3 linked regions of the Schizosaccharomyces pombe genome follow. The gene in region 1 interacts genetically with each later gene. Each region holds a gene or a part of one and is shown in the gene's direction. Other genes may lie near its edges.

Region 1 (7,901 bases):
TTATCATCGAATGAAATTCCCAAGGATTATTCTTCTTCTACGGCTCTTTTAAATAATACAGTTGCTGTTAAACAGGATCACAAATTATCTGCAAATACTTTCCTTTCTTCCCCAGTCAAATTGATTGAGAGGGAAAGCAACAGTTGTTCTACAATTTCAATAAATAAAGAGGATGAAGTTGTTCCAAAATCACCACTAAGTTTGGATCGTAAAAAAGTTGATGAAGTCGAAGAACATTCATCAATCGCTAAACTTGACTCTGAAGAAAAAATTAGAGAAACGAAGAAAAAAAATTCATCAACGTCTCTTTCCCCGGATCCAACCTCTGATAATTTTGAATGGGGTTCATGGGTCAGTTCCCAAGATACCTCGAAAAACTCATCGAATTTAGCTTCTGCTTCCGTTGATGATGTAAGTGAAGAGTCTCAAGTTGAGCCAAATACTCTAATTTTTCAGAATTTTAGTTCACCTTCTACTTCATTGTCAGCTCCTAAAGACACTCCGGCTGTTATTCAATCGATCAATACTTCGTTTCTTAATAATGAGAGAGCAGGGCGTGGAAATATAAAAACAGTTGACCAAAATCAACTAATTAATAGAATTGTTGATAAGCTTCCGGATCTTAGTTATCTTGTCGATTGAAAATCTTAATGATCAAAAGGTAAACGTACTAATTTTAATCACATAATGGCTAGAGGAGTTATTGTTATATCTATGCCCAAATGAATATTAACTTTATTGTGAACAAATGTTAACTTAAATAAATCAATTCTAAAAAGATGTAAGAGGAATTGCATCTTCAAACAACGTGTTGTGAATATACAAATGTTTACTAATAGATTGAACGAATGTATACCATTCTCTAGGGGATGAAGGCATGTCAGTTTTATCATCACGATTCCAACATGTGAGGTGAAATGGTTTAAATGTTTTACGTAATCGCGATTCTTCATATTCGCTGCATGAACAATGCAATCGCTTTTCAAACAAATACACTGGAACATGAAATGGATGATTGGGCAAAGTTATGGATAGCGGTAGAGTACCTCCAAAGGAAAATATCCCTCCAAGCTGGTATTTAGTAGACAATTTATAACAACTATATAAAGCAACCATAGCTCCTTGACCAAACCCGAAAAAAAATATTCTAGAAGATAATATACCGTAAGAGAGTAGATTGCCAATTAAATTTGAAATCATCGTAAAACTTTTAGAGAAATCGGCTTCAGATTGCAGTTCCCCGTTTTGATCAAAATGGACATCCTCTCCCCACATCCAATTGCCTCCAGGATTTTCAAAATCTAATGGTAATCGATATGGTCCACGTAAGGAAATATAACTAGTGTTGGGCAACGGAACGTTCTTTGCCATATTTGCAAAACTCTTGTGAGAATCTCCAAGTCCATGCATTAAAATAACTACATTGTGAACCTTGTCTTTCCCTTCAATAATCTCTGCGCATGCATTTGAAGGTAGAACACTGTTTAAAGAAGACATTAGATAAAAGAAATACTAAACCCCGAGGTCAACTATTGAGATTAAACTTCTTGCCATTAACTTGGTTCTGTGTCAACAGTTTGTTCCTGAGCCATACGTATTTCCCGAATTATTTGAGCTATTGCTTCTGGGTGTACGTTGTTTTCACAAAGACTGATGCAGAGTGAAAGCGTTGTTTTATCAAGTTCAGTTCCAAGCAATGTTCCTATTTCGTATAAAACTTCTATTGTCTCTTTGGTAGATTCAGACATAAAACTCGATACTTTATAATAAACTAGTCTAATTATATATACTTCGTAACAAGTTGGTAATGTTAAGTTTACTGGAATAGGCGTCTCGGAGTAGCTCATTATAATCCTCTAAGTAATAAACAAAGTACTTCGTGGTGCATCTAGCTTGTGCTTGTAAAACGAAACCGAAAGTAGGCTCAACCTCAGATTTGAGCAGTCAAAATATTGATGAAATGTATCCTCTCAATGCTAATTCTTATACTCTGCTACGGAAATTAGGATCAGGTTCATTTGGGGTTGTCTGGAAAGCACGTGAAAATGTGTCTGGCGACATTATCGCTATTAAACAGGTAAGACTAATTAATTTTTACTCTTCTTTAGTATCACAAAAAACTTACAGTTGCAGATTGATTTAGAAACAGGTATTGACGACATTACCGACATCGAACAAGAGGTATTTATGTTATCGAATTGCAACAGTTCCAATGTAATTCAGTATTACGGTTGTTTTGTTGACGGATACACATTATGGATTTTGATGGAGCATATGGATGGAGGATCAGTTTCGGGACTTTTGAAAATGGGAAGGTTGAATGAACAAGTAATTTCAATCATTCTTCGAGAGGTCCTTTATGGGCTAAATTATCTTCATGGACAAAACAAAATCCACAGAGATATCAAAGCCGCCAATATACTACTATCTTCCTCTACCGGAAACGTAAAGCTTGCTGACTTTGGAGTTGCCGCTCAACTTTCGAACGCTGCTTCGCGTAGACACACGTTTGTTGGAACGCCATTTTGGATGGCACCGGAAGTAATACAACAAACAAGTTATGGTTTAGCTGCTGACATTTGGTCTCTTGGAATTACGGCTATTGAAATGGCTAACGGAATTCCGCCCCGCGCTACAATGCATCCAATGCGTGTCATCTTTGAAATTCCTCAATCCGAGCCTCCAAAGCTAGATGATCATTTCAGTCCAACATTCCGTGATTTTGTGTCCTGCTGCTTAGATCTCAATCCTAATATGCGATGGTCAGCTAAAGAACTCCTTCAACACCCATTCATCAAAAGCGCAGGAACTGTGAAAGACATTATTCCTTTGCTTGTTCAGAAGGAGAATAAATTATTTGATGATTCGGATCAAAGTGTATTGGAAGAAACCATAAATAATACTTTAAAGCCCTTTGAAGAACCAATTGCTGAAGGAAATGCTGACATTGAGGATTGGACATTTGAAACTGTAAAGAAATCTGACTCAACTGTGTTAGGGAATACTAGCATTCCTAAAAATTCCATCATCAGTTCACAAAATAAAGAGGAATTGCCTTCATCAATAAAATATTTAGAGAAAACTATAATGAGTGATCAAGCGACACCGCATCCTTTTTCCAAGTCATTGTCTGAAAAAGGTAGCTCTTATCATAAATCGTTGACTTCCGATTTTGCTATGAAACATTATATTAAGTCCACCATACGATCGATGTTATTAAATGATAAATTGTCAGCAACGCAGCGCTCATCTTTAGAATCTTTTTATACATCTTTCATTTCTTTAGATAAAAATCTGTCCTCAAAATTTGTTAACCAAATTACTCCAGACAACAGACTGCATCACAAAAAGCAAAAGCGGAGCCCCATATCACAACTACTATTTTCACGGTGGCTTGAAGAAACTGAGAAAAGAAGAAGTCTAAATGGATAGCTTACTAAAAACTCGTAAACAACCTGTTTACAGCATTCACAATTTTGTATTTAAATGAACTTATAATGGCATATTCTACTATAATTTAATCTACATAATATATATAAACACATCCAAACGAGAACTATTCGAAATCAACTTGACACTTGCTTTAAAGCATTTTGTACATTCCAGTTATTTCCAGACAAATATTGTTCAGCCGTTTGATAAGACACAGAAGTATAATTCATGACATAGGTTATTCTGGTTGGTTAGCAAAATTCTCCAAAAAAAAACATACTTAGCCTTTCTCTTAAATTCATCAGCATACTCAATCCACTTTCGTTTGACCACGTCCCATGTGGACCCCTGAGATTGCGCATTTACCATCTTCGCTTTGGAATGTATTAAAGCAGATACTGGTCGGTGATCTGATGCCTTCAGTTCGTACCTGGTATAGTTTTCTGCAGAGATGTAGTCGGGACTTCCACGATAACAGATACGATCACACCAGGCAGGCACACGCTTTTTTTCACTACTGTCGTACTGCTCACTATGAACGTCGTACTTGTAAGTTGGGGCAAACGTGATTTCTGGTTCAGTAAATGTTCTCAGACGAAATCCGGCATTTCTTTTTCGCTCAACAAGAAGCTGATCGCTTTGGAGCAAAGTTTTTATGTCGTTTTTTTTAATTAAATCTAAAGCTTTAGGTCTCAATGTGTTGATTCTATAATTTAAATCACCATGCAAAACACAAACTTCGTGATCCATAATTAAAGAGCCATCGCCACCACCAACGAATGTATTCAATTGATCAGTTTCATCATTTTCAGGAAAAAGAGAAGCATTGTCTAAAATTGTTGCCAAATCATTATTTCTGGCTGCTTTATTGGATTGACCAGCAGCCAAATGACAGTTTACTATGCAATATGAAGTATCATCTACCAGAAAGCGAACGACTATTGCACCTTTGTTACCATGCAAACCACCTAGTCCCGTTTTTACAGTTGTCGATTGTAACATCCGAATTTTGCTTTGTAACTTATTTTTTACAAAAACACATGAGAAAAGACCAACCAAATTTTCACATACCAAAACCTGATAATCATCGTTTGAGCTTACCCGCATCATTTCAGATTCTAATTTTTCACGCCATAAACGATACTGACTGGAAATATTAGCACTGTTAGACGAACCACCTTTGGAGCTCGACTTTGAAAGGATGCTTCTAGCTGTGAGTCTTTTATTCTCCAAATCAACTAGCTCTTGAAAACCAAACACAACTATATCTGGGTATCCATTGTCTCGAATCATCATTGGAATCATACTAGCTCCAATAGTATCACTATCTAGATCAGATGGCTTTGAAGCTCCGGCATTCCAGGAACAAATAAGTATAGACACGTCAGTAAAATTACTATATTCTGGGAAGCGGCTTCGCATTTCGGTAGCTAACCAGTCACCCATCATTAAACCATCCCAAAACTTGACAACTGAAGAAGCCATACTAACAACTTGGAGCCTTTTAGCTTTCCATACGCTATTCACATCAATACCAAGTATAGTGGTAGCTCCATTGTGACTTGCTTTATGACCATGCCAACTTTTTAAGAGGCGCCAAGGACTCTCAGAAACATCAAATACGTAAATCATGCCTGTCGTGTAGGCTGCCCAAAGTGTATTTCCAACACCAACTAGTGAACAAATTCTATAGAATGAACTGCTAGTAATTAGCTCCAAAAAACGGTATTGGGTTTTCGAAAAGATGGATATTTTTCCATCAACGTGACCATAGAAGACCAAATCCGTAAAGTTTGAAATAGTAGTGCCACAAGAGATATCACCTATCAAACCAGGTGGAGTCATGGGCTTCGCCAAAACACTTGCCGACTCATTTTCTGAAGTTGAAGGATCATATACATAAATTGATTTCCCAACAACAACCCATAAAAGCCGATTATCTAAAACCATAGCATGAGTGGCATGAGGAATGGTGCGAATACTATGTGGAGTAGACTGTATACTTAAACCCATAATTTCATCTTCCTGCCATACATACAGTTTTCCCATATCGTCCAACGTCCACATTTCATTTTTATAGACCATAACGTAAGTAATAGGACAATTGGAAACAGACTTCTTAGTAACGATATGATGATTTTGAACATCGACTTCCCATAACATCCCATCTCTCGTTCCAAACCAAACAAATCTGCCATCGTCAGAGTAATTCTCCGGGGATGATTTAAATGATAAGGACGTTACCTTCGTATCCCCTAGAGGCATATGCCAATGACAAAGACCAGTAACGGTGTCATAAACACGAAGTCCTCCGTTTCCAGCTAAAACAAGGCGATCACCACTAACATCAAAGATTCTAGCTTCAAAATCTACGTTAATTGATTCAACACCGTTAACAAAACAGGGCGGGTTCCTCCTAACGCTAGAAGTATCTGGTATGCTTCCTTTTAAAACAACATCTAATTGCGATGACGAAGAGGAACTAGCAGCAACAGAAGGATCACTTTGCTCAGTAGAAACAGGCATAGAGACAGGTTTGTTAGTAGCTAAGGATTTCACCCTCGGTGGTGGTGGAGGAAACAAAGGGGATGGTTTAGAAGATAAGTTTTCAGATGTTAAAGCTGGACTAGACAGTTCTGATAAAGTGTGACTAGGACGGGGAGGTAATCTGGGTTTCTCAGGTATTAAAGACATCTCTGATGCAGGAGCAATATGAGTGTAGGGAGACGACTGTAAACCAGTAACAAGACTGGCGTCACTTTTAGTAGCCAAATTCTCTATTGGGGAAGAAGAGCGCTGGGTAGAAACTTTACGCAGCGGTGGTTTTGGGGGCTTTCGGGGAGATACATGAAGCGGTAATTGTTGAGATATTACCGCACGCGATTGCTGTATAGCCTCAACAGCAACTGGCTGTGGAGGTCTTGGAGAGGGAATTGGAGGAGGAGTTTCCAAAGACCTGTCTCCAATGTTCAAAACAGGAGGCGCCGTCGATATGGGACACTCCTTTCCAAAGGTCTGGCTAAATGGATCATGCAAATCAAAGGAGGGCACACTTTTACTAGAATTGATAACGTTTTCTTCTTCTTCTTCAGAAGACAGAACCGAAGAGGCTTCGGAGTGAGTTGGAGACTGAGAAATATATGCCTTAACATTTTTTAATGGAGATACAGATATCGGGCTTGAAGAACCTGCTTTCGAAGAAAAATTGGGTTTAGGGGGTGGTATTTGATGATTATTGGTATCATCGTGTTTCATTAGATCATTTCCTTTGGTAGATTGTACAGATGATTGAAAAGAAATTTCAGGCCCTTTTTGTTGAGGTCGCTTAAGTAATGGAGAAACAGAAACAAATGAATTAGATATAGTAGGAGAAGATGGAGTAGCTACGTGAGATTCAGAAGAATCACTAGGTAGACGATCTATTTTTGAAACATCAGCGTGGGGGTTTGAAGGATTTTTAAAATTAGAAGCTAGCCTTTGAATTGAACCACTAACTTTTCGTCCAGTCGAACTTCCTATAGTCGATGAGACTTGCCTCGGCGGTGGAATAGGTCTTGCTTTAAAAACGTTTGGCTCAGAAGTGCCATTTTTACAACCTTTTACAGTTCTTCTTTTAGCAGTTTTTTCGTCCAAATTAGTTAGGTCACCGGTACTCAATGACTCGAACTTTGATTTCAATGATAAAACCGAAGGGGGCAACTCGGGTTCATCTTCATTCACATTGCTGAAGCCTTGGCGAGAGGCCATGTTCCATGATTACGACAATCTTATGCTTTAAATCAATTTTTTAAATAAATCACCTTTTTTAAATACTTCTAAAATCTATTAGGTGCTGTTTGGACCTTTTGCGCTTTTCAGCTAATTGTTGGAAAAAGACAACCAAGACACTGCGTGGGCTGACCTATTATGAAATAAACAAAGCCTCGTGCACTCAAACACACGCATCAACAATACTCCAAATAATCATTTTTACAGAAAACAAAAGGGAAGATGATGTAGAAATTCGCATAATACAAATTAGGAATTCCAAAAAACTATCAAATATTTTTTAGGCATTTGTATTGCTTAACTAAATAGTTTACTTCACATTTATAGAAACAATTTTGAAAGCCATTCTCAAGGCAATGAAAGATCATATTGTCATGTAGCTAAATATTTGTAACATATTATTAAGCATTGACTATAAACACACATTGCACAATTTTATTTCAGAAAGACACAAAACGAGAAATTTTAAGTACTTATGCAAGAAATTTTATAAGATACAGAAAATTTATTCGATATCAAAATTATATAAAAATTGAGCAACTTATGAAAGCATATGTACTATACGTTGAATAAAACCACAATAAAAGAGTGTATAAAGGCATAGAAAAAATAAAATAAAATCATATAGTTAATTGATTGTCTAAAGAATGTAATTTATACGGGAGGCAAGATAGACGTTTGACATTATGTATTAGAAATGA
Region 2 (4,565 bases), 1.5 Mb from region 1:
TAAAAAGAATATGTTTTATAAAAGTTATTTTATTCGTATGCTGCATAATATCATTCTTTACTTAGGTTTCAAACATACCTATGAAGAAAACCTTAAAACAATAGCGATTTCATGAATATTATAAGAATAATTTAATTCGTTCTAGTTTAATAAGCATCATTTATAGTATGTGAATGCCAGTCAATAAAGTATTTGTGATATTCAAGTCAACTGAACAACGTTGCCTCCGCCATCTACTGGTTACTACAAAATGACTGATTATATCAAAGATAAAGCTATAGCAGCTGATTTTTCTTCAGTTCAATTTCGTTTTGATAACTATTTAAAGCAAAATTTTAATTTCGGAAGGTCTGCCTTGCTAAACTCTGGAAATGGACGCGATTCTGGATCGAAAATGGGTAGCGTGGTTTGCAAGCATTGGTATGTATATATAAAGAAGAGTAATATGAATATATATTTCATGTATTTTTCTATTTGTTTTTGTTTCTACCTTCATGATAACTAATATTATATAAGGCTTCGTGGACTTTGTAAAAAAGGTGAACAGTGTGATTTTTTACACGAGTACAATTTAAAAAAGATGCCTCCATGTCACTTTTATGCAGAGCGCGGCTGGTGTTCTAATGGCGAAGAGTGTTTATATCTCCATTTGGATCCCAGTAAACAAGTTGGTGTCTGTGCCTGGTATAATATGGGATTTTGTCCTTTAGGACCTATATGTCGAGGCAAACATGTACGAAAACCAAGGCCTTGCCCAAAATATTTAGCTGGGTTTTGTCCGCTAGGCCCTAATTGCCCAGATGCTCAGTAAGTTTTTTGAAGAATTATAGTGTTGACTTTCTCTTTCTATTACTAACATGTTCTAGTCCTAAACACTCTGAACCTCCGCATCCTCCTCAAAAGCGGAAAGACTGGTAAAGGATGCGTTTTTTAATGTGTCACTGTATATTAGGTAATGAAATCAAGTTATCAATGGAGTATATGCAATTAGTGATGCCGTACATTGATTATTGAGATTTTTTTTTATGGAATAAAATTAATTATCGACGTTGGGTTTGTCTTGGTTGCGGCGAACCAAATCGACACATAATCGGGATAATAGAAGTATTTAGAAACCGAAAAATAAGTTTTAAATAATAAGTCTCCCTTTTACATATGTTTTTTGCAACATAGAAGGAAAAGAAAATTTAGGAACTTAAGTATCGTTTACCAGTATGTAAAACGCTTACGTAGAGCGCCATCGTAATGTATCAAGGACGGTTTATTCATTTAATCATTCATACGTTATTCGTAAAATATTTGCTACTTTCCAGTTATGTTTCTTATTTTTTTGTAATTTACTTATCTGCTGTATTCAATTTTGCAAACTATAAAAACAATATGGATCTTTTATATGACAATGAACTTCTAGTTTTTTATAATCAAAAACACCTTTCTTTAGCGTACAAATGATTAAGGTTTCATTAATGGGAAATTGCCAACAAGTTTTACACTGGACTTTGTAAAGTTGAGCAAAAAATCCTATGTGTAGTAAAGCGTAAGATGAACACTGAAGTAATGAAATAGTGTTGTATTTATCAAAAATCCATTAATAACTTAAAGTCGCTTAAGGCTTGATTTACCGATAAAAATTTTACTGAGCTTTTGACTCGCCGAAGAGTGGTGTAGATTCGTTAGGGTAGCAGCATTTGATACGAACCATCAAGTTAGGAAAATCAGCAGCCCTCCAAAAAAGCCAGTGAAAACTGGGAAACTTTGTATCAAAACTTTTGAAAAAAGATCCAAAGACGGTATAGAGATACCCTTAGAAATTTGAAGATCAAGATCTTCGTATACAATTGAAATTGGCAAAGTGTACCAACGGGAACGAAATCTTAATATAATACGAGTAGAAGATGGATGATATAGAAGACTCTTTGGATCAGTGGAAATTTGCCCAGTATGTAAACGATGTGTGAAAAAAATTAATGACTAACTCTTTAGATGCTTTGGTGACAAGGGTGATGTGGAAGACATCACTGAAGGTATTGGTTTTGAGTAGTTCTCTCATAAAAGAGTTCTCTTTTACTTTAATCACTGAATAAATGACTAACAAGTTTAGCCGATATCATTTCAGCAGTAGAATTCGACCACACAGGTGATTATCTAGCAACCGGCGATAAAGGTGGCAGAGTCGTTCTTTTTGAGCGAAATCATTCGAAAAAGGGTTGTGAGTATAAGTTTTTTACTGAATTTCAAAGTCATGAACCCGAGTTTGATTATCTCAAGTCCTTAGAAATCGAAGAAAAGATCAATAAAATTCGCTGGTGCAAGAGGACTAATCGAGCGCATTTTTTACTCTCAACGAATGATAAAACTATAAAATTGTGGAAACTATATGAAAAGAATTTGAAAGTCGTTGCCGAAAATAATTTGTCGGACAGTTTCCACAGTCCTATGCAAGGACCTTTGACAACACCTTCGCAACTTCGACTCCCACGACTCAACCATCATGACATGATTATCGCTGCATATCCACGACGTGTTTACGCTAATGCACACGCATATCATATTAATTCGATTAGCGTTAACTCTGATGCAGAAACTTACATTTCCGCTGATGATTTACGTATCAACTTATGGAACTTGTCCATCTCCGATCATTCATTCAACATAGTTGACATTAAACCTGAAAATATGGAAGAACTTACGGAAGTTATTACTAGTGCCGAGTTTCACCCGATAAACTGCAATCATCTCATGTATAGTAGCAGCAAGGGAAATATCAAACTCTTAGATTTGCGTCAATCTGCGCTCTGCGATAATCCATGTAAGCTTTTCGAGGATCAAGAAGATCAAGATTCCAAGAGTTTCTTTTCTGAAATCATCTCTAGCATTTCAGACGTTAAGTTCTCACAAAATGGCCGCTATATTCTTTCAAGAGATTATTTAACTCTTAAGATATGGGATGTCAACATGGAAAAAGCTCCCGTTAAAACTATTCCATTGCATGATGTTTTGCGATCAAAGTTATGCGATCTCTATGAAAATGACTGTATTTTTGATAAATTCGAGTGTACCTTTTCTGGTGACGACAAACACGTTTTATCAGGAAGTTATAGCAACAACTTTGGGATTTACCCCACAGATAGTTCTTTGCCTGGCGATAGAGGACAGATAGTTTTGCAAGCCGACAAGGCTGCATTTAGAGCCAGAAAATCTGCTGCAAATAACGTTCCAAAGTTGAATGCTGTGAAAAATAATGATTGGCGGTCACAACCTCAAGCTGCGATGGGATCTGCTTCTGTTGGCCTTGATCCTGATAACCTGGATTACAATAAGAAGATATTACATGCCAGTTGGCATCCCTTTGAAGACTCAGTTGCCATCGCCGCTACTAATAATGTACGTTTGCTTATCAACTTTTTGTTTACTAATGTTTCAATAGCTTTTTGTTTTCTCTAAGCTCTAATGTCCTTATGTGGAGTTTGGTTTGTTTTTATGATCTACGGATAGACTGAACATAGTTCCTTTTTTATTGAACTTCCGGGAATAAGAGTTTTCTTACCTTCTTCTTTCAGATTGTATTCTTATATACACACACCATTTTAACCATTAATGACAGAAATAAAGTTTTTAGGACTAATGATAAAAGGGTGCTTTGTTTATCTCCCTTCATGTATGCCGTGAATCGATACATATGTACTTTGCTATCCACAGTATTTTTCTTTTTCTCTTTTTACGTGTTCCTTTTTAATCTTGAAATTGTGGTGATGCATCGTAAATTTCAACGTTTTTTCAATATCTCACAAAGTTTTTTTCTCTTGTTGAAAAAAATCTGAATTTGAAATCGTAAAAGTACTTTTCAGGTTAAGCTTCACCATTAATTTACCTTCAGCTCTTTTTTGTTGAACAACGAGTAATAATGTGTTAAGTTTTCTATATAAATGACGGGAGATCGATTGCAAAAATATGACTAAATGTCATAAAGTCTTTGGTTCACTAAAAAGGCTACAATTATTTTTACTAAGGCATGATTCATCAATGCATAAGAAATGATTATTTATACGTATTTTGCACCTGAAAAAAAAACCTAGTAAATTGAGGGAACATTAGTAGCTATAGTAAAAAGAGTAGAAAATCAAATGTAAAGCGAATATATGTATAAACTGAATCATATAGAGTATACCAACACTTAGACTCAATAGGATCTTAAATGCTGAATGACTTTTCTAAAGAATGAAAGAAGGGGAATAGTATAATTTTCGAATGAAGCAATGCGACTGATAAAAGAAACTCCTCACAAATTAGGATATTAACTGAAGAATATGAGTTGAAGAGACAAAGCGAGCAAACAGTGAAAGACGATAATTCCGAACAATAAAAGTTTGCACAAATTTGATCCGGCTTGCTGACAGATAGGATATAAATTTCTAGTTAAAAACACAATGGAAATTAACAAACCAATCCCTGTAAGTACATATTTGACAATATGGGAGGCCAAAGTAGATAGCAATCCAAACGGAGGAGTTGCTAAAGAAACGGGAAGCCAAACAATGTTAGCATATCCATATAAACACAGACAG
Region 3 (4,720 bases), on another chromosome or scaffold:
TTTCAGGAAGTAAAAATACAAGAATTAACGAACCAAGTACCTATTGGCCATATCCCTAGATCATTAACCGTCCACTTATATGGTGCTATCACTCGCTCTGTAAATCCTGGCGATATCGTTGATATTTCTGGTATATTTTTGCCGACTCCGTATACTGGTTTTCGAGCAATGCGCGCCGGGCTCTTAACCGATACTTACTTAGAATGCCATTATGTTTCACAAATCATTAAAAATTACACAAATATTGAAAAAACTCCTCAATCGGAGGCTGCTATCGCTGAATTAAATCAAGGAGGCAATGTGTACGAAAAACTGGCCAAGTCCATTGCTCCCGAGATATATGGACATGAAGATGTTAAAAAAGCTTTACTTCTGTTGCTTGTCGGAGGTGTTACTAAAGAGTTAGGGGATGGAATGAGAATTCGTGGTGACATAAATATTTGTTTAACTGGTGATCCTGGTGTCGCAAAATCTCAATTATTAAAGTATATTTCGAAGGTTGCCCCGAGAGGAGTATACACCACAGGTCGTGGATCTTCAGGTGTTGGTTTAACTGCTGCTGTAATGCGTGATCCAGTGACGGATGAAATGGTTTTAGAGGGAGGTGCCTTAGTACTTGCTGACAACGGTATTTGCTGCATTGACGAATTTGATAAGATGGATGAAAGTGACCGTACAGCAATTCATGAAGTAATGGAACAGCAAACTATTTCAATTTCAAAGGCAGGAATCACTACGACTTTAAATGCTCGAACAAGTATTTTGGCCGCTGCGAACCCCTTATATGGACGATATAATCCGAAAGTGGCACCAATCCACAATATAAATCTTCCAGCTGCACTGCTTTCCCGGTTTGATATTTTATTTTTAATTTTAGATACTCCTTCTCGTGAAACAGACGAGCATTTGGCACAACACGTAACATATGTTCACATGCATAACGAACAACCTAAAATGGACTTTGAACCATTAGATCCAAACATGATTAGGCATTATATTTCTTCTGCTAGACAATATCGCCCAGTCGTACCAAAGGATGTATGCGACTATGTTACTGGTGCTTATGTTCAACTTCGACAAAACCAAAAGCGTGATGAAGCCAATGAGCGTCAATTCGCTCACACTACTCCACGTACACTTCTCGCTATTTTGCGAATGGGACAAGCATTAGCTCGTTTGCGTTTCAGTAATAGAGTGGAGATTGGCGATGTTGATGAAGCTTTGAGATTAATGTCTGTTTCAAAGTCATCACTATACGATGATTTGGATCCTAGTTCTCACGATACTACTATTACCTCGAAAATATATAAAATTATTCGAGACATGCTTAATAGCATACCAGATGTTGAAGGCAATGAACGCTCACTTACACTACGTGCTATTCGTGAACGCGTACTTGCTAAGGGTTTTACTGAAGATCATTTAATAAATACAATACAGGAATATACAGACCTTGGTGTTCTTTTAACTACAAACAATGGTCAAACAATAATGTTCCTCGATCCGGATTTACATATGGAGAATTAACAATTTACTAATAGATAACTCCTATCATTTAATTTTTCTGCCAATTAATTGCTTTAAGCTAATTTACAACCTATAGAAATTATTCTGAGACGTCAAACTACTTTTCTGTTGAATATTCTTTAATTCTGACTAATACATCTGTCGTTCTTTTAATCTATGATAGTTTATTTACTTGTATTCAAATGTTAATTCACGCAATTGAAAGGAAGATATATTAAGCCAATATGTTTCGTTAGATTTGGAAGGACCATAAAACCTTAAGATACGTGTCAATATGCTCGAGTCGTAGGAATGAGTAATGAGTTTTTATTTCTTGACATTTAGCATTATTTTACACCTTTAACTTGTTCATCACTGCTGTCCCACCCTTCCTGCTGTCATGCCGAGTAAATTGCGAATAGAACTTTACGCACTTCCTTAGAGCAACCAACTTTGGATACCCATTGGTGTCAAGAAATGGGCATTCCATTTTAAATAACTTACTTTGTTTTAACGTCTTTTTAATACTGATTAATTCCATTATAACTAGTTTGCCGGATCCACTTCTCCGTAAGAATCAAATAAAGAAATTTGCTGAATATTCGAAATGAGAACTACATTAAGGCTTCATATAATCAAAGATGGTGAACAAGATAATCAATTTATGATTCTGTTTGACCCATCTTCTTCAATTTCTTTATTAAAAGAAAAAGTGCAGGAAACTTACAAATCACTTTATCCTTTTGAATCGTAAGCATAGCAGCATGCTCCATCTTTCTACTATTAACGAAAATTATTATAGAAATATAAACATAAGAAATATAAAAAATGAAGAAAGCTACGACATTCCTAATGAGTACTTAGTCGGTGAAATCTTTCCCACTAATTCCAAGGTCATTGTCGAATCATTCTCTTCTCCGTTGAAGAAATTAGATGGGACTATGATAAACTTCAAAGAAAAAAATATTCAACATGATTTAGATGGCGTTGAAAATGATTTCGCTACTGTCCAAAGTGCATCTAATGGTGTTCATGCAATCAATGGGAAGCGTACGCATCCGGATGAGAGTGAAAACCCTCGAAAACTACCAAAAAAAAATTTTGTAGAGGCAATTGATGCGAACTCTCCTGGATTTGTATACAGACCAACTAGTATTCGCGATCGAGCATACTCAATTTCTTCAAATCATGATAATGAAAGTACATTAACCGAAGGGATTGCTTTAAAAGAAATTGAAAGTCCAGATAAAGATAGAAAGGCTGACGGTATAGTTAATTTATCAGTTACTCAGGAGGAAGATGATAATCACCAATCCTTCAATAGTTCCTTAACACCAAGTCAACCAACAACTTATAATCGAGCTAACTTTTTTTCAATTAACGATGCGTCTTCTGATTCATCGTCAGATGCTCCCTTGCGAACTTTATCATCGCCTTCCCGTCTTCGCATGAAAGATAATGATAGAAAATATTTAGTCGAACATTCTCCTGCCGCATTAATTAAAGAAAGTGAAACCATTGATGGAATTGATGATAAATCATTGCGTTCTTCTACTCGAGAAGTTTCTGTTGAAAGCCCAAATGAAGATTCAGTCAATGATGACAGTTCATCAGATGTATCCGATGAAAAAGAAACGGAGGCAAAGCATGAAATTAGAGCTCCTGCAATAATAGTTAGAGAAACTTCATCTCATCCATCCACTGCCGTTCCTTCCGAAAACGATACCACCGAATCGGAGAACGATACCCTTTCTGAATCCTCTACGACCTCTATATCTTCTTCCCCGTCCGAAAATTCAGATACTAGTGATGATTTAACGAAGGTTGATAGCCCGAATAAATCTCTGGTTAATGATAACGTTTCAGCTAAGCATGATAAAGAAAGTGAGAATGGTAAAAGCAAATTTCCCCCTCCTTCCCAGACCCTTGTTACTACATCGACGATATCTGCAGCGGGAAATGAACCTTCTGATGAGATTGGTTCTGAAAATGATTCAGATTCGGATTCAGACTCGGACTCCTCTGTTCCTTTAAGTCAACTACAGAAGAAATCACAACAACGAAATTCTGTATCTCACGAGATACAGAATAGAGGAACCAAAGGATCCCCGAAGGAACCTAAAGCTAAGCCTTCTACGGAAAGACCGGAGACTCATAGGACATTGTCTTACTCACGTCTTTCAGAATTGTCTAAAACGTTTTCTCCTGAAATTAGAGAACCTTCTCTTACGAAGAAGACCGCGGTCAGTATGCAGGAATCAAAAGAAGAAGGGCGTTCTGATGAATCTTCTGAAAGTGAAGAGTCAGGGAGTTCTTCAGATGAAAGCGACAATTCGGAGAAGGAAGATAGATCCAATCCTATTCCCGTTGAGAAAAGAGCAAGTACTGTACTAAATACAAAGAAAAAGAGGAAAGCCAAAAGAAACAGTGCTTTGGCTGGCTTGGCGGCCCTAGTGTAAATTTCTTGTTTTTGATTAACTCCCTTTACGCTCGTTTTTTTTTTTTTTTTCATCATAAGTCCAATAGCAAAAGAATTCTGTAATAGCGTTGTTGTGCTATCATATTGCGTATATAATAAATTTAGTTTTCTTGGCTTTCTGCATAATTTTGACTTATTAATAAAATTACATGTTAATTAGCTAGCAAAACTTGATTTAACTTTGATGCTGATAAAAAGATGTTGAAATTCTAAATGGAACGTTCTTTAATGTCCATTAAGTTGCTTCATTTCAAATCCTTTTTTGATGACTGATTGTAAAATTAAAACTGCTAGTTGTAGGAAACAGGAGACCAGACAATGACAGTAATTAGTATATTAGTAAAATTTTCCGGACTAAAATTCGTAAAAAAAAAGAACAAATTAGATTACAATATTCAAATATTTTCACGAGCTTTAGTATTTATATTATTATAGGCAGTACCTAAATTCACAAAAAATGCCATTATTTGTTGTATAGTAATTACTTTACCCTCGACATTACTCATAATGGTTCAATAGTGTTAACAAAAACTGATATTAGTAAAATCTTTCTATTCTTTAGTATGTTTATAACGAAGACCAGCTAAACATGAATTTCTTGATCCGGGCAAACTAACTGCGTATAGTTGATATTATGCAAAGTGAACGAACTTATTTATTTGTAGTAAAATAATAGCTCTATAAAAGTAAGATGATCGAAAAGAAACTTATCACACTCTTACTATAAAGTGCTTT

The links. A genetic interaction does not mean that the proteins touch.
Region 2: of sid1 (region 1) and pab1, a mutation in one rescues a mutant of the other (synthetic rescue), as found in Schizosaccharomyces pombe (one study listed by BioGRID).
Region 3: of sid1 (region 1) and dnt1, a mutation in one rescues a mutant of the other (synthetic rescue), as found in Schizosaccharomyces pombe (one study listed by BioGRID).

What each region holds. Positions count from the first base shown.
Region 1 is NC_003424.3:1,983,797-1,991,697, forward strand, and holds sid1 (PAK-like GC kinase Sid1), read left to right. Parts: upstream 1-1,901; 5' UTR 1,902-1,960; coding exon 1,961-2,077; intron 2,078-2,133; coding exon 2,134-3,432; 3' UTR 3,433-3,566; coding exon of another isoform or gene 3,567-3,675; 3' UTR 3,676-3,712; coding exon of another isoform or gene 3,713-7,179; 3' UTR 7,180-7,438; downstream 7,439-7,901. Other genes in the region: SPOM_SPAC9G1.07 (Schizosaccharomyces specific protein), read left to right, coding at 1-411, 457-642; SPOM_SPAC9G1.08C (phospholipase), read right to left, coding at 772-1,497; putative mitotic spindle organizing protein Mzt1, read right to left, coding at 1,554-1,748; inp53 (inositol polyphosphate phosphatase), read right to left, coding at 3,567-3,675, 3,713-7,179. UniProt on the Schizosaccharomyces pombe protein: Has a role in the septation initiation network (SIN) required for cytokinesis.
Region 2 is NC_003424.3:507,022-511,586, reverse strand, and holds pab1 (serine/threonine protein phosphatase PP2A regulatory subunit B-55 Pab1), read left to right. Parts: upstream 1-1,693; 5' UTR 1,694-1,895; coding exon 1,896-1,939; intron 1,940-1,983; coding exon 1,984-2,024; intron 2,025-2,101; coding exon 2,102-3,384; intron 3,385-3,406; exon of another isoform or gene 3,407-3,427; coding exon 3,428-3,451; 3' UTR 3,452-4,065; downstream 4,066-4,565. Other genes in the region: cleavage and polyadenylation specificity factor complex subunit Yth1, read left to right, coding at 251-420, 517-807, 867-918; yip5 (Rab GTPase-binding protein), read right to left, coding at 4,295-4,565. UniProt on the Schizosaccharomyces pombe protein: Phosphatase 2A affects a variety of biological processes in the cell such as transcription, cell cycle progression and cellular morphogenesis, and provides an initial identification of critical substrates for this phosphatase.
Region 3 is NC_003423.3:3,714,445-3,719,164, reverse strand, and holds dnt1 (nucleolar protein Dnt1), read left to right. Parts: upstream 1-1,946; 5' UTR 1,947-2,113; coding exon 2,114-2,256; exon of another isoform or gene 2,257-2,308; coding exon 2,309-3,965; 3' UTR 3,966-4,220; downstream 4,221-4,720. Other genes in the region: MCM complex subunit Mcm7, read left to right, coding at 1-1,527. UniProt on the Schizosaccharomyces pombe protein: Negatively regulates the septation initiation network (SIN) pathway, independently of the cdc14 phosphatase clp1. May also have a role in silencing rDNA transcription. Required for maintaining the exclusive nucleolus localization of nuc1.